2 linked regions of the Danio rerio genome follow. The protein of the gene in region 2 purifies or fractionates together with the protein of the main gene of each other region. This does not show direct contact. Links are inferred from orthologs where the notes say so. Each region holds a gene or a part of one and is shown on either strand. Other genes may lie near its edges.

Evidence for each region. Proteins that work in one complex are often made in the same cells at the same time.
Region 1: the proteins of l3mbtl1 (region 2) and anapc1 purify together in Homo sapiens (affinity purification with mass spectrometry; 4 studies listed by BioGRID and IntAct, counting the BioPlex papers as one, with this or other methods). This does not show direct contact. The link is inferred for Danio rerio from reciprocal best matches to the Homo sapiens genes L3MBTL1 and ANAPC1.

The regions. Positions count from the first base shown.
Region 1 is NC_133188.1:50,698,707-50,703,141, reverse strand, and holds the start of anapc1 (anaphase-promoting complex subunit 1), read right to left. Parts: upstream 3,139-4,435; 5' UTR 2,956-3,138; intron 1-2,955. UniProt on the Homo sapiens protein: Component of the anaphase promoting complex/cyclosome (APC/C), a cell cycle-regulated E3 ubiquitin ligase that controls progression through mitosis and the G1 phase of the cell cycle.
Region 2 is NC_133198.1:4,293,591-4,297,442, reverse strand, and holds part of l3mbtl1 (lethal(3)malignant brain tumor-like protein 1), read right to left. Parts: intron 2,177-3,852; coding exon 2,023-2,176; intron 1,693-2,022; coding exon 1,569-1,692; intron 832-1,568; coding exon 783-831; intron 1-782. UniProt on the Homo sapiens protein: Polycomb group (PcG) protein that specifically recognizes and binds mono- and dimethyllysine residues on target proteins, thereby acting as a 'reader' of a network of post-translational modifications.

The sequences.
Region 1 (4,435 bases), on a different chromosome or scaffold from region 2:
CAGTAGTGGTTATATACACTTGGGAAAATGGTACAAATTTTTAACTATATATATAAAGTTATAGTTATTAATAAAATAAATAAAGTTATACATATTAATAAAACTTATGCAATCTTTACCATCGAAATGAAAGTACAAAGACTGCCACCTGGTGGTGCAAAGAGAAAACTTATTGATATGAACTTTTTAAATCGCTTTAGTACAAATTGTGTATAATAGAAATGCAGAATATGTGACTTTTTTTTAAAGCAATAATACATTAATGCAGTCATAAACATGTTTTGACAGTTAATATGCCAGTGATTTGATGCTTCACAAAAGTTGCAGACACCTTTACCAATATGAAAATGCTTTTGTAAACAACCAGTTATTCTTTACACCGATTAAAAAAACTGCTACTATAATAAAGAAAATCTTTTCTAAATGAAGAACTAAATACATTGATTTGCATGGAAATACATGATGAATACTCTTGTCCTGACAAATGAAAGTGTAAAGCAGCTCATAACAAATGTGGAAAGTCCTTGCGTGTCATATTTCACAAACCGTTTACTGCTAATTTGATGTAATTTTGCTCACATGGATAATTGAATATTAATCAGATGATGTCATTACGCTGCTGTGCCGTCAGCCAATCGTTGCATTGCTGATCATGATTTCGAGGATCGATAGATCTGTCCTTCATAACACACGCAGCGATCTCAGATCAGTTCATCCAGACATTCTAATCTGATTCGCGAACTTGTTTGAAGAACCAAATTAGCGAGAGATCAGATATCAAGATTAAAAGATCCAGGATCTGCCAAATCATCTTAGATCATTTAAGCGAGGTACGAAGAACGGACCCCAGGGTGGACATTTCAGCAAGACAATGATCCAAAACACAGCTGAGAAACTCTCAAATGCTTTCAGAGAAAGAAAATCAAGCTGTAGAATGGCCCAGCCAATCACCTGACTTGAATCCGATAGAAAATACAGAAAAAAGGTCAGATTTGACAATCGAGACCCACAGAACCATCAAGAATTTCACACTCTGTTGAAGTCTGTGAGAAAACTCACACCTGAGCAATGCATGCGACTTTATTTTCCATATGAGAGACGTCTTTAAGCTGCCATCACTAAAACATCTTTATATAAAGCATTAAATACATTTCAGTAGTTCAGCACTTTCTCCTTGTGTCATTTCATTGTTATTACAGATAACTCATTTATCAGATTGTTTTGTTTAATTTTTATGTTTGTATTATTTGGGTTATAATCAAAATCTACTTCAATTCCATGTCAACAGCTCCTTTAGAAATATTATTACTAGGAAAAAAACAGGATGTGTTCAATGCTTATTTTCCCCAACTGTATATTCATTTTTGTTTCCTTTTTTAATAAAGCTATCAAAATGTGGATTAAACAATACCTACCCTTGTTTTAGGACAACTTGGATTAACTTTGCTGATCTGCTTCAAATGTTGACTATAGTTCCAATAAGAAAATTTTATTATATATTTAAAACATTTTCCAAGTGATGTTTAACAGAGCAAGAACTTTCCATCTGAAGAAAGTCGTATTCCTTTTAGTTCGGCTGGATTGAAAATACACATCTTTTCTTAATGTAAAAACTTTAGCCACATTACAAAACTAAAATTTGATTGTCTACAGCAGGGGTCACCAATCTCGGTCCTGGAGGGCCGGTGTCCCTGCAGGGTCTAGCTCCAACTTCCTCAACACACCTGCCTGGATGATTCAAGTATACCTAGTAAGACCTTGATTAGCTTGTTCAGGTGTGTTTGATTAGGGTTGGAGGTAAAATCTGCAGGACACCGGCCCTCCAGGAACAAGTTTGGTGACCACTGGTCTACAGAATAAACCATGGTTATCCAGTGATTTGCCTAGTTAACCTAATTAACGCAGTTAAGCCTTTAAATTGCAGTTTAAGCTGAATAATACTGTTACAAAATAACTACTAAAATAATATGCAGTCATCACAACAAAAACAAAAAAATTAGCTATTAAAACTATTATGATAGGGGAAAAAAAGTTTTAAAAAGATTTTTACCCCGTTTAACAACACTTGATTGGAAAATTATTCATTTCGTAGGTGGGATAATATATTTTATACAACTGTACATATATAATCATTATTACAATACATTACAAAAAATATACTGCCAAATATTCATGCCTGCACAGCCTGTCTGCTCAAATATCTGTCACATATATGTCTGTCATATATTAGGGTTACTTTTGTCAATCTATCAGACTGATGTAAAGTTTATACTCGCACATTTGTTCAGTTCAGAAGATTTTGAACACGGTCCCTATATCAGAGATGCCCAAACTAGGGCCCGCAGGCAAAAGGTGGCCCCCCATCCATTTATAGAAGAGAGGCAGTTTTTTTGGGGGTAGTTTGTTTTAATGTTAAACTACAAAACAGCAAACTGAAACTAAATGTTTCAACCAAATGTTGTAAATGAATCTGATTTAAAAAGATATACTGTCACTGATGGATAGAAGACAATGCAAAGACATCAGTAACAATGATGTACTGATAGACATTGGCAGCTAATGTAATTTCCCTTTTGAGAATTACCAAAGAATACTTTTCTGAAAATTATATTGAAATGGTAAAAGTCTGAATATAAACCCTAATTTAGCTCAATATCTGTCAGTATGTACTTGCACATCAACTGTTCACGCAATTTCATAAGTAACGTTAAAAAATACGACATTAAGAGACAATTCAATTCATTATCGTTCGCCAAATAACGTTAGCAGATATATTTATGATGTGCGATTAACCCTTTCAATAAATCAGTAAGTAAAAACATAGATAACACTGTACATGAGCTCTTTTTCTGATGATAATTATATGTAAAACTTCATGATAAACCCGGTCTGTCATGCTGTCAGCATTAGCCGCGGCGCTACAGCTAAGTTAGCAACATCCGCTCCGATATTCACCTGATAATAACAAATAGTCGATCTTCCAGTCCTGGAGTGCGGTCCTTCCCTTTAACAGATGCTTCTCCCTCTGCAATCTCCTGCTCACTTGGAGAAACGTACAAACTCATCAAAGTATGCGGTGAAAAGCAAACCGAGCACACTATTCTGTTTCAAATGAACGCGGACATGTTGTTATCCCGTGACGCACGTCCGGGTGTCTGACCAATCGGAGAGCTGCGTCCAGGAAGCGCGTGAAAGCAGGCAGGTTTTACGCGGGGTTTTTTTGGGGTTATTTTATATTCTAAATATTTTGTTGATATTTGATATTCATAAATGTACATGTTTCAAGATTTCCCCAAAAATTCAAAAAATTGTGATATATTTGAAGACAATAAGAGAGATAAAAGATAATTAATTTGTGGGCTTCAACTGCCCTGCTACTTATTTTGCTTTGTTTATTATTTATTTTATTTGTTCATTTTTGTTATTGTATTTATTTATATATGTTGTATTATTATTTGGGACAACACAGTGGCTCAGTGTCACCTCACGGCAAGAAGGTCGCTGGTTCAAGCTTCGGCTGGGTCAGTTGGCATTTATATGTGGAGTTTGCATGTTCTCCTCATGTTGGCGTGGGTTTCCTCCGGGTGCTCTGGTTTCCCCACCGTCCAAACACATGCACTATAGGGGAATTACCAACTTACGTCACAAGGGTTTAACCGCGCATAGTGGTTGCAAAAAAGGACCAGCTGCAATAGCAAACATGTCGATTTGTGCAATAGGATACCAAATTTGTAAGTCCAAAAATAGAAAACGTAACTTTTACTGTACACCACACTGCTTTTAACCGCAGATGTTATTGGCTAACAGCCATTATAAGAGCTGAATGGAGTGAGGACCTAATTAAAAATGCGTGACTCTGCAGTTCTCATTTCCTATCAGGTAAGTTCACGCTATTATGAATTATACACATTACTCGTTTTTGATTGCAGCAATGATTTCAGCAAAATCGGTTATATATGGTGAATTTAACTGCGGACATTGAATGCTTAGAATGAAATGTAAACATGTGCATTCACATACTCTGCCGTACAGGTGAAGTTCGCTGTCAGAATGCAGTAGTTTTGCTTGTTGATGATTACCCAGGCCCTGTACAGCTCCGTCTTCTTTCCTTGTCTTTGGCTAGGCAGAACCTCGGTTTTTAGCACTACATAGTTTTGAATCTGGTAATCATGGATCATTATTTCTAGCACATGACCACACAGAACAACGTTGTAGGCATCCAAAGACTTGTAGGCCTTTACCTTTAACTCTCTTGTAAAATCACCTGGGGCCTCATGTATCAACGCTGCGTACGCACAAAAACTTTGCGTACGCCAGGTTTCACGCTCAGAATCGCTCACGTTTGGATTTACTAACAATGAACTGAACGTGGGAATGTGCGCAGCTTCACGGCAGCTTTCTGGCTGGCGTACGCACATTTTTTGTGCGTGTCTGT
Region 2 (3,852 bases):
TCATGCGATTAATCGCGATAAATTTTTTTTAAAAAGGTGCGATTAATTAGTTAATTTTTTTTTATCGATTGACAGCACTAATATATATATATATATATATATATATATATATATATATATATATATATATATATATATATATATATATATATATATATATATATATATATGTTTCATAAGTGCTTTGGAATTCATTAATTCATTAATAAAGTCTTTTAAATGATATAATTTGTTATAATAAACTGTTATAATAGAATAAAAACACGGTAACATTTTAAAATGTATGCTCATTCACAAATCTTTGCACAATCTGTCCATACATTGGCATTGTTCATTTCAGTAAATCTGGATATACTAATAGAGTCATGCACATTTTCAGAAATAAAAGCTAATATGTTAAGCTACTTATATGTAACAATAGAGATAATTCATACAAAACTAAAAATTCTGTCATCATTTTCACACCCTTTACTTATTCAAACCTTTATGAGGTTCTTCTGTTAAACACAAAAGAAGGAGAAACCTTTAAACCACTCACTTAGCATAGTAGGACAAACAAATACTGTGGAAGTCAATGGTTACAGGTTTTCAACATTCATTAAATCTCATTTTGTGTTCAACAGAAGAATAAATCTTATACATTTTTAAACCACTTGAGGGAGAGTAAATACTAAACAAATGTTTATGTTTTGGTGAACTATCCATTTAATAAATACAAATTGCAAAGTTATGTGATGGTTTAATGTAACTATTACAATGTTTCGTGGACTGTCATGAAGTACCTGTTTTGATCTGTCTGCCATCAATTTTCAAAGCCTCAGATTTCTCGTCCTTAAATGAAAAGAGAGCATTTTGTTGCATTAGAATGGAGAACAATCTTGAAAAACAAGATCATTTAAATGCACAGCAAACCCAGTGCGAACCTTGATATCAATACAAAATTAAGAAACAACAACACAGGCTCGTTGGGAATATGTGCCCAGAGCTACATTATTGGAAACCTGCAAATACATGTCCTGGCATACGAACTCTACTGGACGGTATGATGGCGCAGAAATCTTCTGTTACTTTTCAAGCTACCTGCACGATCAGTTTGCTCAGTAGCTTACCTTGTATGGTGTAGGACTTGGCATGTGGAGTACACCAGGGTTTGAGTTCGGTTCCAGAAACCAGGTTAAAAAAAACAGGACATTTTATCATGGAAGTGCACAAGAAGGATATGTAAATGACACGTATGAAAAAAAGTGCCCCAGTAATGTATTTTAGATTGTCAAAAATATACATGGCGGCCTTTAGTGGATTAGTGAAAAAAACACCAGCAGACATAGCCCCGGGCACACATTTAACTGTTCCCAAAACTGTAGCCCTGGGCATGTATCTCGAATGAGCCTAGGTTTCTAAAACTCATCAAAAATGCAAAATGTTTTGATGTCAAAACCTTGACTGATGCTCTTTTGACCACCAAAATAACAAAACCACAAGTAAAGTGTTAAATTTGCATGTTTTTGATGTCATTTTGACATCAAGGTGCCCGCTAGGAAGGCCTGAATTAATTAGCAGAAGTGCACCATTGGTTCGGCATCAGAGTCGTCCTCTGATGGGCTGTTGTATTCCCTCCTCTTCCTCTTCTTCATGGGCTTCATCATGTCATGCTCACGATACATCACCTGTGCTTCTGCGAGGCCTGCAGGACTGAAGCATCAGCACAGTGTCATCTGTCTCCTCATGCATTCAACACACTGCAAAAAAGGCTTTCGTACTTAGACTTTGATTATAGTCCACATATCTAAAAATTATTAAAGGTGCAGAATGTTTGACCCTCCGTGGTTTAAACCATGATTTAAATAAAAGCAATGCCACGCGATACTGTAGACAGTATTTTTGGCTTGTCTAAAAAATGTTTGTTGATTTAAAAAACTTTTAGATATTTGGACTAGAAACAAGACAGAAACTCCAAGTAAGAACAGTGTTTTTTGCAGTGCACATGTATAATCTATGAGTAGAACAGTGTAGTGAATTTACATTTCCGACATCGGCTCTCCCCGTAGCTCCGTCATGTGCATGTTTTGGCCGCACCTGCTGTGAACGGGACTGTCCTGCACCTCTATACGAGCTCTGTGCAGTCTGTCGGCCTCCAGAAATGCTGCAGGTCTGCCATTGCCACCGGCTGAGACGTCTGTGGTCAGAACACACTGATGTGACGCTGCCATTGGACAGACAACTACTGACAGCTGCTCTGATTTTAATGTTACAGGGCCAAGAATCTACTTGTGCATAGAGCATAACAAAAAATGCTTGAATATATTCATTGTTTAAATAAAAAAAATTACACTTAAAAATAAAAATAATTCAATTTTGCATACTCTTCAAAGACAAATTTAAGACAACACTTACATAATTTTATTTGCATACTCTTCAAAGACAATTTTAATTTAACTCTTAAATAATTCTATTTTGTAAACTCTTTAAGGACAATTTTAATTTAACTCTTAAATAACTCTATTTTGTATACTTTTTAGACAATTTTAAGACAACACTTAAATAATTTTATTCTGTATATTTTTCATTGCAGTGGAGCAGTAGGTAGTGCTGTCGCCTCACAGCAAGAAGGTCGCTGGGTCGCTGGTTCGAACCTCGGCTCAGTTGGCGTTTCTGTGTGGAGTTTGCATGTTCTCCCTGCCTTCGCGTGGGTTTCCTCCGGGTGCTCCGGTTTCCCCCACAGTCCAAAGCAAGTGTGCCGCAAGCCTGCGTTTGAGTGAAGGTCTCAGCCGTTAGATCGCCCCCTGGGGGCTGGCTGCAGTACAAGTCATAAAGCCCGCCTCCTCCGTGTTAATGTAGGAGACTTGAGCCCAAATAAAAAAAATGTATTACACTTGCAATAAAATGTCCCGAAAGATGGTTCTGGTCGATAAAGGCACTGGTTATTGTGCTGAAATAGGTGCAGATCTTCATTTTTGTAAACAGTTTGTTTTTAGCAGTAATTTAATGCTGGGCGTGTCATCGTGATTGACAGCTGTGATTGACAGTTACTCAAAGCAGCGCGTCTGAGCTTCGGCAGGAGACTGAAGTGTTATTATTCGATTTCTGTGTTATTTTACCATGACAAAATGAGTTCAGCAGTAAACTATAGTTTCTGACATACATGATCCTGGTGGAACACTGTATATTCGCTAAGGTCAGGGCTTTTTTCGGGCTTTATTAGTTTGCTGATACACGCCTAACCACCCAGATAGCAAAACACACTCGGGCCAGTTCCGGCTAGATTCTCGCCTGCCGGAGACTTAACGTACCCCTCAGAGCTCAGACTGAGTGTGTAAGTGTGTGTGTGGATGTTTCCCAGAGATGGGTTGCGGCTGGAAGGGCATCCGCTGCGTAAAAACTTGCTGGATAAGTTGGTGGTTCATTCCGCTGTGGCGACCCCGGATTAATAAAGGGACTAAGCCGACAAGAAAATGAATGAATGAATGAATGAATTTGTCATTGCTAACTTTAAGCCAACTCTTAAATAACTCTATTTTATATACTCTCAAAAGCCAATTTTAAGACAAAACTTAAATAATTTTATTTGCATACCCTTCAAAGACAATGTTAAGCCAACTTTAAAATAATTCTATTTTGTGTAATCTTCAGTGCTAACTTTAAGCCAACTCTTAAATAACTCCATTTTGTATACTCTCAAAAGCCAATTTTAAGCCAACTCTTAAATAATTCTATTTTGTAGAGTTCTTCAAAGCCAATTTTGAGCCAACTCTTAAATAACTTTATTTTGTAGAGCTATTTAAAGCCAATTCTAAGCCCACACTTAAATAATACCATTCTGTATACTCTTCAAAGACTATTTTAAGCCAACTT